3 linked regions of the Alligator mississippiensis genome follow. The protein of the gene in region 2 interacts with the protein of the main gene of each other region in a pairwise test. Links are inferred from orthologs where the notes say so. Each region holds a gene or a part of one and is shown on either strand. Other genes may lie near its edges.

Region 1 (3,745 bases), on a different chromosome or scaffold from region 2:
CAGCAGACAAGGTTTCTTGGGTGACTCTGATATCTTTTATTAGACCAACCCAAATAGTTGGAAAATAATTATTAAGCAAGCTTTCGGGTTCAAAAACCTTTCGTCAAGCTAAGGAAGTTTCAGCAGTTGGTATGCGCTCTTCCTGGATGGAAGAGCACACACTAACTGCTGAAACTTCCTTAGCCTGACGAAGGGTTTTTGAACCCGAAAGCTTGCTTAATAATTATTTTCCAACTATTTGGGTTGGTCTAATAAAAGATAATCAGAGTCACCCAAGAAACCTTGTCTGCCTATGTCCTTAGACCAACACGGCTACAACCTACACCCCTGTATACATACCCAGCTGCATTATCAACTCAAATCAGTTGGGGAATCTTTTATGAAGGTGGTGTGATCACAACAACAGAAGTACATTGTTAGAGTTTCATCAAAACATGCATTAGCTTAAATTAAGCTTTGTTGGTTTTGAAGTCATTCCAATATATAGAGATTATACTTTCCTTCTTTCCAACCCAGCACACCTGGGCAGATCATACATTCTGGCACAAACTGCACTCCATATATTCTTTCAAAAAATTCTAGAAAAATAAATCTTTCATATATATTAATTATCATGCTAATAAGCAGGATGCAATTTTATAGCTTTTGCAAAAATATAGGCCATGAATGCAAGGATTAGATTAACAATTGTGATTCCCTCCATATAGCATCAACATAAAGAACTTCACTAGAGTTGGACAGGCTTATATAAACTTCTCACAAATTTGTATTTTGCAATTAGTGTTCATGAGGTATTTACCAACTGTGCTGGTAGAGATTATAAATTTCATGAAACCCTAAATGCAATTGTGAACTTGCATGAGTGAAGCTGGCAAACAAAACTATGCAACTGCTTATTGAAATACGCTATTATACCCTTGAGACAGGCAAGTAACAAAAAATGGTATCTATTTTTTTTTAAATATACTGACTGATCCAAGGAAATTATGGTTCAGTAAATATTAGTCCAATACCATGAAGAGCGGAGCTTTTACAACCTTTGTAGACAAGCAAAGAAAAACGGTTCCTTTGCTGGGCTCCCATAACCTTACTTGCCATCTCCACACAATCATATGTGCACACAGACTTCAGAAAGGGAAAAATTGCTTTTTTCTTGGATTTGAGTATGGGGCTGGGCCAAAGCTTGAGCTGCTACTGCCCTGCTGTCAGGCTGGGGTAGCTTGTGCAACAGTGGAGTGGGTAAATGGTAAGCCTCAAGGTGTACAACCTGGAGGAGCATACAGGGGAGAACACTCAGCACCAGGGGTGCTGGTGGCTCCAGCCCTGACTCAGGCAAGGGGCCAGAGTTGCTACTGCCACCACTGGGCCAGGCCAGGGCCAGAGCCACTGTGTGCTCCATGTCCTGGGCCAGAACTGGAGCCAGAATCACCGCATAGGGGAAGTGGCAAGGAGACAAGTGCAGGTGGGTACGAAGCCTGTTATCCCTCCCCTTCCCAATTACTTTCCCTACCACCATTTGTCTCCTGACTGCTGCTTTTCCCTGCCACAGAAATGGAGGTGTGCATGTGTGGGGGATGGGGGGGGAAGAGGATTAAGATGATCCTCCCATAAAGAGAGTCTACATGGGGGGGGCAGAACTACAACAAATTTATAATTTTCCATGTACAGAATCAAAGTACTGAGGGGAGGGGTCATCTTAAATTCAAAGTTGTCTTGGATGTGGCTAAATAAAGCAGATAAGATCTGACAGAGAGCAACTAACATATGCATATTCCTGATTGTTCACTGTCACCTATGGAAAGAAGCAAGCCTAAAAGCAATCCAAGTCAAAAAAACAATAGGTTCCAGCAGGCTTGAAGGACAAGACCCTTTAACTCATGCCTAACTTCTTCATCTGCAAAAGAAGTTACTCACATTCTTCCTACACCTTCATACATGCGTGTCTCGTCCACCAGCGTCATAATCTCAGTGTCCGTGAGGTGCGCGTGCTTTTTTGTCCTGTTCAACTGTTCTATCTGCATATCTGCCAGCTTCACCTTCTGCTGAGTGTCAATGACCTTGGCCTGCAGCTCAGTAAAAGCCTAAGGGAGAAGCGCGGGAGAAGCAGTCAGGGCCGGGGGGAACAGGGCCAGGCTCTGCGCCGCAGCGGTTTCCTTTCCCCTCAGAAATCGCAGCGGCAGCCGCGAGCCCGCAGGCCAGGACCCAGCGCTGCTCCGACACCGGCCCGCGAGCCCAGGCCGCCCCCGCCCGCCTGCAGCGCTCCGCAGCCTCGCACAGGCTGCGCCAGGGGAGGGGAGGGGACAGAAGAGGACGGACGACTCCTGCCGGGGCGAGCGCCCCCTCGCAGGCAGCCTCCCCCACCATGGGCCAACCGGGAGGAGCAGGACGGACCCTGCCGCGGCGCCGCTACCTTCTTCAGCTCCAGGTCCACAGGCGCCGCCATATTGCCTGCGCCTGCGCGGTGCAGCCGCGTGTCTGGGGTCCGCGCGCCTGCGCAGTGAGGGTCGCTGAGCCCAAGTCTACTACAGCCTGTCCCCGGCCGAGAGAGGAGCAAGGCCGAGCTCCGCCCCCGCTCGGAGCTGGGCGGGGCCGCGTATCAGGTCCAGGAGCTGCTGGCGCAGCGCGGGCGTGAGGTGGAGGTTTTCGCCCATCAGCGCGGCCCCGGCCCCGGCCCCGGCCCCGGCTCTCTACTCACTCGCCAGGTGCGGGAGCGGCTGAGCGCCCCGCCCTGCACCTGCTCCCGCTGCTTTCTGCGGTGTGACTTAGCTACAGGCGACCTAGCAGTGACCTGGGCCTGCAGCGCTCTCCGCAGCAGCAGCCGCAGGGGTTAAGGCCAGATCCTGGCCTGCTTGCAGCTCGGGTCCTGCCCTGTGCACTGAAGCAGAGTCTTTCCTGGTGGCCATCAGCGTGGAGCCCCTGAAGCCCAAGGGCAGCGCTGCGTGTCCCCAAGGAGCCGAGCCTGTGCTCGCGCCCGGACCACTGCAGGATTGTTTCTGTGGTAGACCCAACCCTGGCTCGGTGCTGCTAACAGCGGTGGGATTCCTGGCAAATGAACAAATTGTGTAGTGTAGCAAGTAAGCAGACAATAAAACAGAGGATGTTTGTGCACTCTGGACTGTGGACTTAGAAAATATGCAATTGCTTATTGAAATACGCTGCTATACCCTTGAGACAGGCAAGTAACAAAAATAGTATCTATTTTTTAAAAAGATATGGACTGATCCAAGGAAATTATGGTTCAGTAAATATTAGTCCAATACCAGGAAGAGCAGGGCTTTTAGAACCCTTGTAGATAAGCAAAGAAAAACCCTTCCTTTGCTCCCATAGCCTTACTTGCCATCTCCACACAATCATACGTGCACACAGACATCAGAAAGAGAAAAATTGCTTTTTTCTTGGATTTGAGTATGGGGCCGGGCCAAAGCTTGAGCTGCTACTGTCCATGCGCTGTGGACTTAGAAAATATGCAATTGCTTATTGAAATATGCTGTTATACCCTTGAGACAGGCGAGTAACAAAAATGGTATCTATTTCTGGGTATGTATCACGTTCATCAACCAACCAGGGCCCAGAAGTGGTATCATATGATTGTACATGTAATTATTAATGAGTGTATTATGCCATACATGTGTAGGGTTGTATCAGCCAATGTGAAGATTAGATCGCTGCCTGAGGAGCAGAAAGTCCAAGGGGTTATTATTTCTGCTCCCATTGAAGTCAGCGTGAGTTTTACGGTTGGCATCAA
Region 2 (3,745 bases):
TGGCCTTGCGCCGCCCGCTCTGCACCTGCGCCGGGTCCAGCAGCGAGTGCTCCCAGATGGAGTTGGCCCCGTTGCTGGCCAGCGTGTGCACCATCTGCGGGGACACGGGCGAGTCAGAGCCGGGCGGGGGCCAGGGGCTCGGGGGGGCGCCCGCTCACGCCCCGCCGGCCCCGCGCGCGCTTGGGGGGGCGCGACCCACCTGCAGCAGGGTGGGGGGCCAGGGGCTGTGGCGCAGGTGCTTGACGATGGAGATGTGGCGGCCCAGGCTGCGGTGCACGCTGCAGCACTCGTCGCAGATCAGCACGCCCCGGTTGATGGAGGCCCAGCCGGGGTCTGCGGGGCAGGCGGGCGTCAGGGCCCCGGGGGCCACCCAGCATCCCCCGGCCCCGTGCCCATTCTGGGTCCCCCCACGGTTTTGGGCATGGTTGCTATGGAAACCACCAGGCCCTGGAGTTGCGGCGCTGTAACTAGGGAAACCTAGAGGTTCCCGTAGCAACCTGGCACGGGGGTGCTGGGGAGGAGTACCCCGCAGGGGGGGCAGCCTCAATCTGTGCCCAGGACGATGCTGCGCCCATTCCCGGGGGCCGCCAGCTTGGGGCGGGCACGTGCGGGGGCGATGCCTGGCCCTGAGGGGCACCAGCCCCGTGCCCCTGGGGGAGCGGGAAGTAGCCCCCTGCCCAGCCGGCACCCCCAGGGTCTCGGGCCCAGCGGCTCCCAGCCCAGCTGCAACGGCCCCGTGCCAGTGCCAGCTGCCCCTCACCCACCTGCCCCGCAGCCCGGCCTGGCCTCGCTGCCCCCCAGTCCGGCCCAGCCCCCCCAGCGCCAGCCCCGAGCCTTTGTCCTCGCTCTGGCACTCGGAGAACAAAGGGCCGTTTGAGACGCGAGCACTCGGCTCCGGGGAGGGGGAGGGCGGCCGGTGCCCCCGGGCACGGCTCCGCTCCGGCCTCGCCAGCGTCCGGCGCAGCGGCCGCCCCACGCGCTGGACTGGGGTGCAGCATGGGCCTCGCTGTGGGGGAGCCCCCGGGCACACGCCAGCCGCACGGCCCGGCCCAGCCGCCGCAGTGGAAAGGTCACGGGGAGAACGGGCGCTTTGTGCTGCAGCCGGAGCTGGTGCTGCCCTGGCCGGAGCGCGGCTCCGCTCCCCCAGCCCGGGCATCGGCCTGCCTGGAGCCCCCCCAGCCCTGTCGGTGCCCCTCACTCCCGACCCGCAGCCCCCCATGTCTTGTGGTGCCCTCACCCCCAACCTGTGCCCCCCGAGCCTTGCAGTTGCCCTCACCCCCAACCCATGGCCCCTGAGGCTTTGTGGTGCCCCTCACTCCTGGCTTGCTGCCCCCCAGGCCTTGCAGTGCCCCTCGCTCTTGCCCCGCAGCCCCCCATCCCAGCGGGTGCCCCTCGCTTCCGACCAGCAGCCCCCCAGCCCTGCCGATGCCCCTCACCCCAACCCCTGGCGTCATACGGAGGTGTCAGCCTGGAGGCCCCCCGGGCCACAGCCCCCTGCCCCCTCCCTGCCCCCCGCCCCGAGGAGAGGAGCTCTGGGCGCGAGGCCCATTGTGCAAACGCTGCCTGCAAAGTTCAAACCACCCAATTAGCAAAGCAAAGGCCGAGGCGCCGCAGGCCTGGCTCAGCTGCCGGAGCCGCAGGAAAACAGGTCAAGGTTTCTTTCCTGCAGCCGCAGGGCCCCGCGCAGGCCCAGGCAAGACGTGGCCTCCCCCTCCCCAGCCCAGGGCTGCCCCACGGCTCGGCCAGCCCCAGCCCCAGGTCCCCCGCCACCCGGTGCCCTCGCTCCCACCCCACAGCCCTGATGCCAGGGGGCAGGTGGCTCCGCATGGTGCTGAGTGCAGGCCTGGGGCTGGGATGGAGCAGGGCCCCCCGATCCGTGAGCAGCCGCTGGGCATCTGGGAGCCGCGGAGGCCAGGCACCCATGGGGCCGATGCAACCCTGGCATTGCCCGAGGGCCTTGCCCAGCCCCAGCCCACGCACGGGCCAGCTCCCTGTTGAGGATGCCTGGGTTCCTCAAGGACTCGGGGCCTGGGTGGCATGGTAGCACCTGGGGGGGCTGGCACAGGCCTCAGCATCGCTGGCCTCTGAGCCCTGCAGAGGAAGCCTAGCCGGGGCGGGGACCAGGCCCTCCCCGCGCTTCCTTCCTGCTGGGAACCGGACAGAGCGACTCTGGATGGGCGCGCGGGCAAAGGGGGAGCAGCTGGGCTTCGGATACAGGGCACAGGCTATGGGGCCACAGAGGCATTCACCCTGGCCCTGAGCCGTGGGCACCCGCTGCGCCACCTTGCCCTGGCACCCTGGGCACCGGCGCTCTCGGGACTGGAGGCGATGGGCTCGGGGCGTGCGGCTGGCACAGGGCGGGCACACAGATGGCGCGGGCGCGAGCGCGCTTGGCAGTGACGCGGCTGCATCTGTGCCTCTGCGCGGCTGCCCACGGGAGGCCGCCGGGCACAGACGGCTCTGCTCTGCGGCGGGCGAGAAGCGGGGCCTCCGCCCCCGGCCAACCTGCTCCTGCCCGTGGGCAGCTGCTCCCACGGGCCATGGCCTGGCGGCAGGTGACCAGGGTCAGTGCCCGTGCCCGTGCCCGTGCGGTGCCAGGAGCTGTGCGGTGCTCCCCAGGGCAGGCCCCGCCTTCCTGCCCGGGGCCGCGCTCTGCCACCGCCTGCCCGCGCGGCCGCGGGCACGTCCCTTACCGGTGGCGGGGTGGGTGCGGGGTGGCTGGGGGCCCCAGGGCTGGCGGGGAGCGGGCAGGCACGGCGGTGCCCGGCACGCAGGCGGACCCGCCCCGCTCCTGCGGCTGCGGCGGGGGCTGCGGGCGGGGCGGGCCGGGCCCTACCTGGGGCGCTGCAGTCGGCGCACACCTCCGCCCGCGGCGCCTTGCGGGACATGGTGCGGGCGGGCGGGCGCGCGGGGCCGGGCCGGGCCGGGCCGAGGGCCGGGAGCTGCGGGCTCGGGCTCGGCTCCTGCAGGAAACGGCGCAAGCCCGGCCCCGCCGGAGGAGGAGCCGCCCGGCCCGGCCCCGATCCCGGCTCCGCCCCGGCCGGCGGGGGGGGCTGCGGCGGGCCGGCCCCGCACCGCACCGCACCGCACAGCACCGCCCCGCCTCGCCTCGCCCAGCCGTGCCCGCGGGCCCCGCACCCGCACCCGCACCCGCCTGCCCACAGCCCCAGTCCCGCCGGCCCGGCCCGGCCCGGCCCCGAGCGGGAGGCGGCTGCGGGTGCGGGTGGCAGGAGGCACGGCCGTGCCCGCGCACGGCCTGGCAGTGCCACGGGGGCTGCAGCCCTCGCCTGCCACGCGCCGTGGGCGCGCGTGACTTGACGCCGGGGGCCGTGGGGGGCGCGCGGGGGTGTCGGGGTGGGGCCGGGCAGCGCCCGCGCGGGGCGGGTGGGGGGACACGCCGGGCCGGGCCGTGGGTGCAGGGCCAGGGGCCCCGCAGCGATTACTGTCGCCCGGGTGAGCACCGCGACATGCCGGCCCGGCCCTGCCCGCAGCCCCCGCAGCTCGCGGCTCACGACAGCGCCGGGGATGCCGCAGAGCCTGCGCGGGGCAGAGGGCTCCTCCCGGCCGCTGCCGCTGCAGCACGGGGCCCGGCCGCGAGGATGCTGCCCCTGGCCCCGCGCCCCGAGCCCCGCGCCCTGCGCCAGCGGCGGGGGATGCCCCGGCCCGGCCCCGCCCGCCCGCCCGCCCCGCCCCGCCCCGCGTGCTGGCACGGCCCGGGCACGGCGCTGCCAAGGCTGCCCGAGCC
Region 3 (3,745 bases), on a different chromosome or scaffold from region 2:
GAAATCACCCTATTTTCCCCAAAGAGAAATTACTGCAACAACTTTCCCCCCGCAACATTTAGAAATTCCTAATAATCTTCTCCCATGGAACACAGTTCCTTACTTGTCAGTTCTCCAATTTGAAGCTCTGCCACGCAGAGATGTGGGGCAGAAAATTTTCCAGTGCTTTATTTTACCATGGAAAACTTTCCATTTCTAAAAATTCATTGTTTCATAAAATTCATTAGTAACAATGAATGGATGCCAATACAATATTAGGCAAGCTTAGCAGTTTCAAAGATGTAATTAATGTTTTTCAGGCGATTATCCCCAGGAAGTGTGAGAGAGAGTACATACATGTTTAATTGATTTGTAAACAGGAGGGTAAATACACTCACATAAGCCAAACCAAAAATCAAGGTATGAATTCACCTAATCAGCTGTGCAGGTCAAATCAAAACCACAGCACAGCATATCATGCACAGTTCTTTGGGTGTGCTCAAATTAGTGTGTCAACAGTTTTCAATGCCTTTTTTCCTTAAATTTAAACAAACAATGTCAGGGAAGCACATGCTATTGTGTATTGTCTTTACATTGTTGCTAGTATTGCAATAAAAATAATTTCTTTCTACATGAAGCTTTGAATTTGTTTGAATATAACATTTAAACCATATTAAGTGCACTATATTCAATTCTTTTCTTAATCAAATATTTCAGTTTAAATACTTGTGGCTATTGGGACATAAAATTAAAATGGGGTACTTTTTTAGTTTTGTTTACTAAATACACGTCAAATAAACATGCTAAATCAGATCACACTCTATTTAGGGCATTGGAAATTTTCCAATTCAAAATTTTCTGGAAAACCCACATCTCTGCTGTCATGTAGCAAGAAACCTTATATGCATTCAAATCCATTTTATGCTGCAGTACACAAGTTAACACTGAACTGGACCCAGTGATAAGTGTCAGTTCTCAACAAGGAAAGGGGAATAAAAGTTCCAATACAATATGCACAAAGAACAGTTCACAAAAATGGGCTCTCACTCGTAGTGTAGCCACAGGTTGGCTGTCTTTTAACATATTCATGCTAATACAAGAGCTTTGTATGGACAGCAGTAATGACAGTCATCGTAACAGCTACAATCAAGCACCCGCACAATAAGAAGAGGCCCAAATTTCAGTGGCAGGTAAAAAAAAAAGTTAGACTTCTGATTTCACCGGCAGGCCAACTGGAGTTCTTTAAACAATAATGATCAATGAGTAGGCCATGCATGACCACCAGTGAGGCTGGCCAACTCCTCATGTTTGGAATAAAAAATGGGGAAACAGGGCCCCACTACACATGCAGGTATAGACACAACTGGATCTAATGCAGGATCCACCCCATAGTGCATCGCACATTAGATCCAATCACACCTTATTGCTGGTATAGGGACAACTGGATCCTGGGCTCCTCCAACATCAGTACAAAGCAGGCTTCCATGGCTGGGAGTCCGCTTTGCTGATGGGGCTCCCAGCTACAGGGACCCCACACAGCTGGGACTGAGAGTCCTAGGTCTGATGGGGCTCTCAGTACAGTTGCATGTGGGGTGCAGCCGGGACTAAGAGCCCCGTCAGCTGCAGCCCTGGTGCCCCACAGCTGGGGGGTCACAATGGCGGGGAGATCGCGGGAGCTACAGTCTCCCAGCTGCTACCTGGAGCACCCCGCACCCCCGCAGCTCGGGGACCACGTTGGCTGCACCGTGCTGTGCTGCGCGGGCTGCCCAGCAGCTGGGAGCTGGCAGGGCCTGCGCCGAAGCTGGAGAGAAACCAGCTATAAAGTCATTACACATGTTCGAGCAATCACAGCGAAGGCGCAGAGGAGCCGGCCGGCCGGCCGGACACGGCCAGCTCCAGGCTGAAGGGCAGGGGAAGGGAAGAGCTGGGACCAGGCCCGAGGCCCGGCACAGCCGGCAGCGCCGGGCCGAGCCGAGCCGCGGGCGCTGCAAAGGGACCGGCCGCAGCACTGGGGCCCCCGCCGGGACGGTCGGAGCGGACCACGGGGCGGCTACACGGCGCCCGGCCGCGCCGGCTCCTGGAAGAGCGGCAGCCCCCGCCCCGCGCCCAACCCGCGGGTCGTGCGGCCCCGGCCCCGGCCCCGGCCCCGGCCCCGGCTCCCCTGAGCCTCCGCAGCACTCACCGCCGCTAGCGCAAGCGCCACCGCCCCCAGCGCGGCCGGAAGAGGCGGGACACGCGCCAGTCACCGCCGCGATTAGTTATCGCGAAGGGGCGAAGCCGCAGCGAACTCGTGAGTAAATAAAATGGCTGCGCCGACGAGGCCTCCCATTGGTAGCTGGAGCCGTGACGCAACAGAACCGGGTCCTGACGATGACCCCGGGCCGTAGAGCCTCACCCCCGTCTCATCCACGTGCCAGTGCACGTGCTCCCTCAGCGCGCGCCACCACCTCCCCGCCCGCTGGGGGCGGAGCGCCAAGTCCCGGCCCGAGGGGCCTTGCCCTCACACGGACCGAAACCAGTTGATAAAGTGCGGGGGACGAAGTCCCTGCTGGGCCCACTTCTCCCGTTTCTGCCCTTTACAGACGCAAGCACACGTGGCGTTAATCCAGGGAGAAACCATTTTATCTCAGGACAAAGTGACATGGCCAGGCAGACGGTTGTCTCTGTTGTCCTGGGATAAATCCTAAAAAAGGTTCCCCAGGAGATAAGAGTTGGTCAGAGTTTATCCCAGGATAACAGCATTGAATCAATGGCCGAAAAGCAGCAGTGCAGTCAGCGGCTCACCAAACCCTGGTTAGAAGGGTGATGTGTGTCCCAACCATCCCAAGAGATTTTTTTTATTCCTGGACAAACACAGGGTCGACTTGGACACAGACCAGGATTTGCTTTTTTGCTATCTTGTACACACACTGTCTGAGTGACACCAGCTGGGTTCTGTGGTATTTCTTATTCTGGGTTACATGTTGCTCCCTCAGGACCAAGTTGCTGCTCTGATGAGCTGCATGAAAAAACCCTGTGAACACAGACTGATTGGAGCACCTACCCTGGGCATGGGAACAGTGTGCCTGCCTGCCACAGTTTTCCTGTAAATGCAGAGCATGGCAGTTAACCCTCCAAGAGTGTCCTGTGCCCTCCAAGTCCAGTTCAAAACCTAGAAACTAAGGAAAGCTGGAGAAAGGAATCATCAAAGGTAGGCTGAGCAAATCCTCCACTTCTTCTGCTGTCTATCACAAAACAGAAGTAAAGCGGTAATTTGATTTGTGCAGCTCAGTTCTGAGACACTGCCAGTCACCCTGTAATGGTGAGACAGGGTGATGGTCTGCCTTCTGCAAGTAGGAAGAGCAAGCGCACAGTGTCCCTTTTGGTAGGGAAGAGATAGGACTTAAAAGTTCTGGAAAATTTCCTGGCAGATAGGAGTGACATTGGAAATAGGACTGGCACACTCCCCATGCCTCATGCCCTCATACATTAGATACAGAAACAGCTTCATTCCATTTCTTAGGAGTTCACAGACCAAGAATGCTATAAATGTCAATGTGGTTGACATTTAAAGCATTGAGCAAATAAATGCCAGCTCCTTGGTATAATGATCTGAAGTTAAGGTTTTTAAATAAAGTTGATTTGTGAATTTCTAAATAAAAAAAGCCTTTTTTATTAAAACTCAGTGCTTCATAATAATGACGCCCAGTGAAACCCACGCATCCACTCAAAACAGATTATCCAATCACATTTCCTCTAAATTTTCACTAGAAGAAAAATGTTCATT

What was found.
Region 1: the proteins of GIT1 (region 2) and PFDN1 interact in binary tests that used the Homo sapiens proteins (3 or more experiments, as listed by UniProt). The link is inferred for Alligator mississippiensis from reciprocal best matches to the Homo sapiens genes GIT1 and PFDN1.
Region 3: the proteins of GIT1 (region 2) and HMOX2 interact in a two-hybrid assay, tested with the Homo sapiens proteins (2 studies listed by BioGRID and IntAct). The link is inferred for Alligator mississippiensis from reciprocal best matches to the Homo sapiens genes GIT1 and HMOX2.

Annotation. Positions count from the first base shown.
Region 1 is NC_081832.1:43,038,319-43,042,063, reverse strand, and holds the start of PFDN1 (prefoldin subunit 1), read right to left. Parts: upstream 2,517-3,745; 5' UTR 2,444-2,516; coding exon 2,411-2,443; intron 2,082-2,410; coding exon 1,915-2,081; intron 1-1,914. UniProt on the Homo sapiens protein: Binds specifically to cytosolic chaperonin (c-CPN) and transfers target proteins to it. Binds to nascent polypeptide chain and promotes folding in an environment in which there are many competing pathways for nonnative proteins.
Region 2 is NC_081837.1:1,504,048-1,507,792, forward strand, and holds the start of GIT1 (ARF GTPase-activating protein GIT1), read right to left. Parts: upstream 2,965-3,745; 5' UTR 2,889-2,964; coding exon 2,837-2,888; intron 334-2,836; coding exon 200-333; intron 95-199; coding exon 1-94. UniProt on the Homo sapiens protein: GTPase-activating protein for ADP ribosylation factor family members, including ARF1.
Region 3 is NC_081836.1:23,784,147-23,787,891, forward strand, and holds the start of HMOX2 (heme oxygenase 2), read right to left. Parts: upstream 2,271-3,745; 5' UTR 2,162-2,270; intron 1-2,161.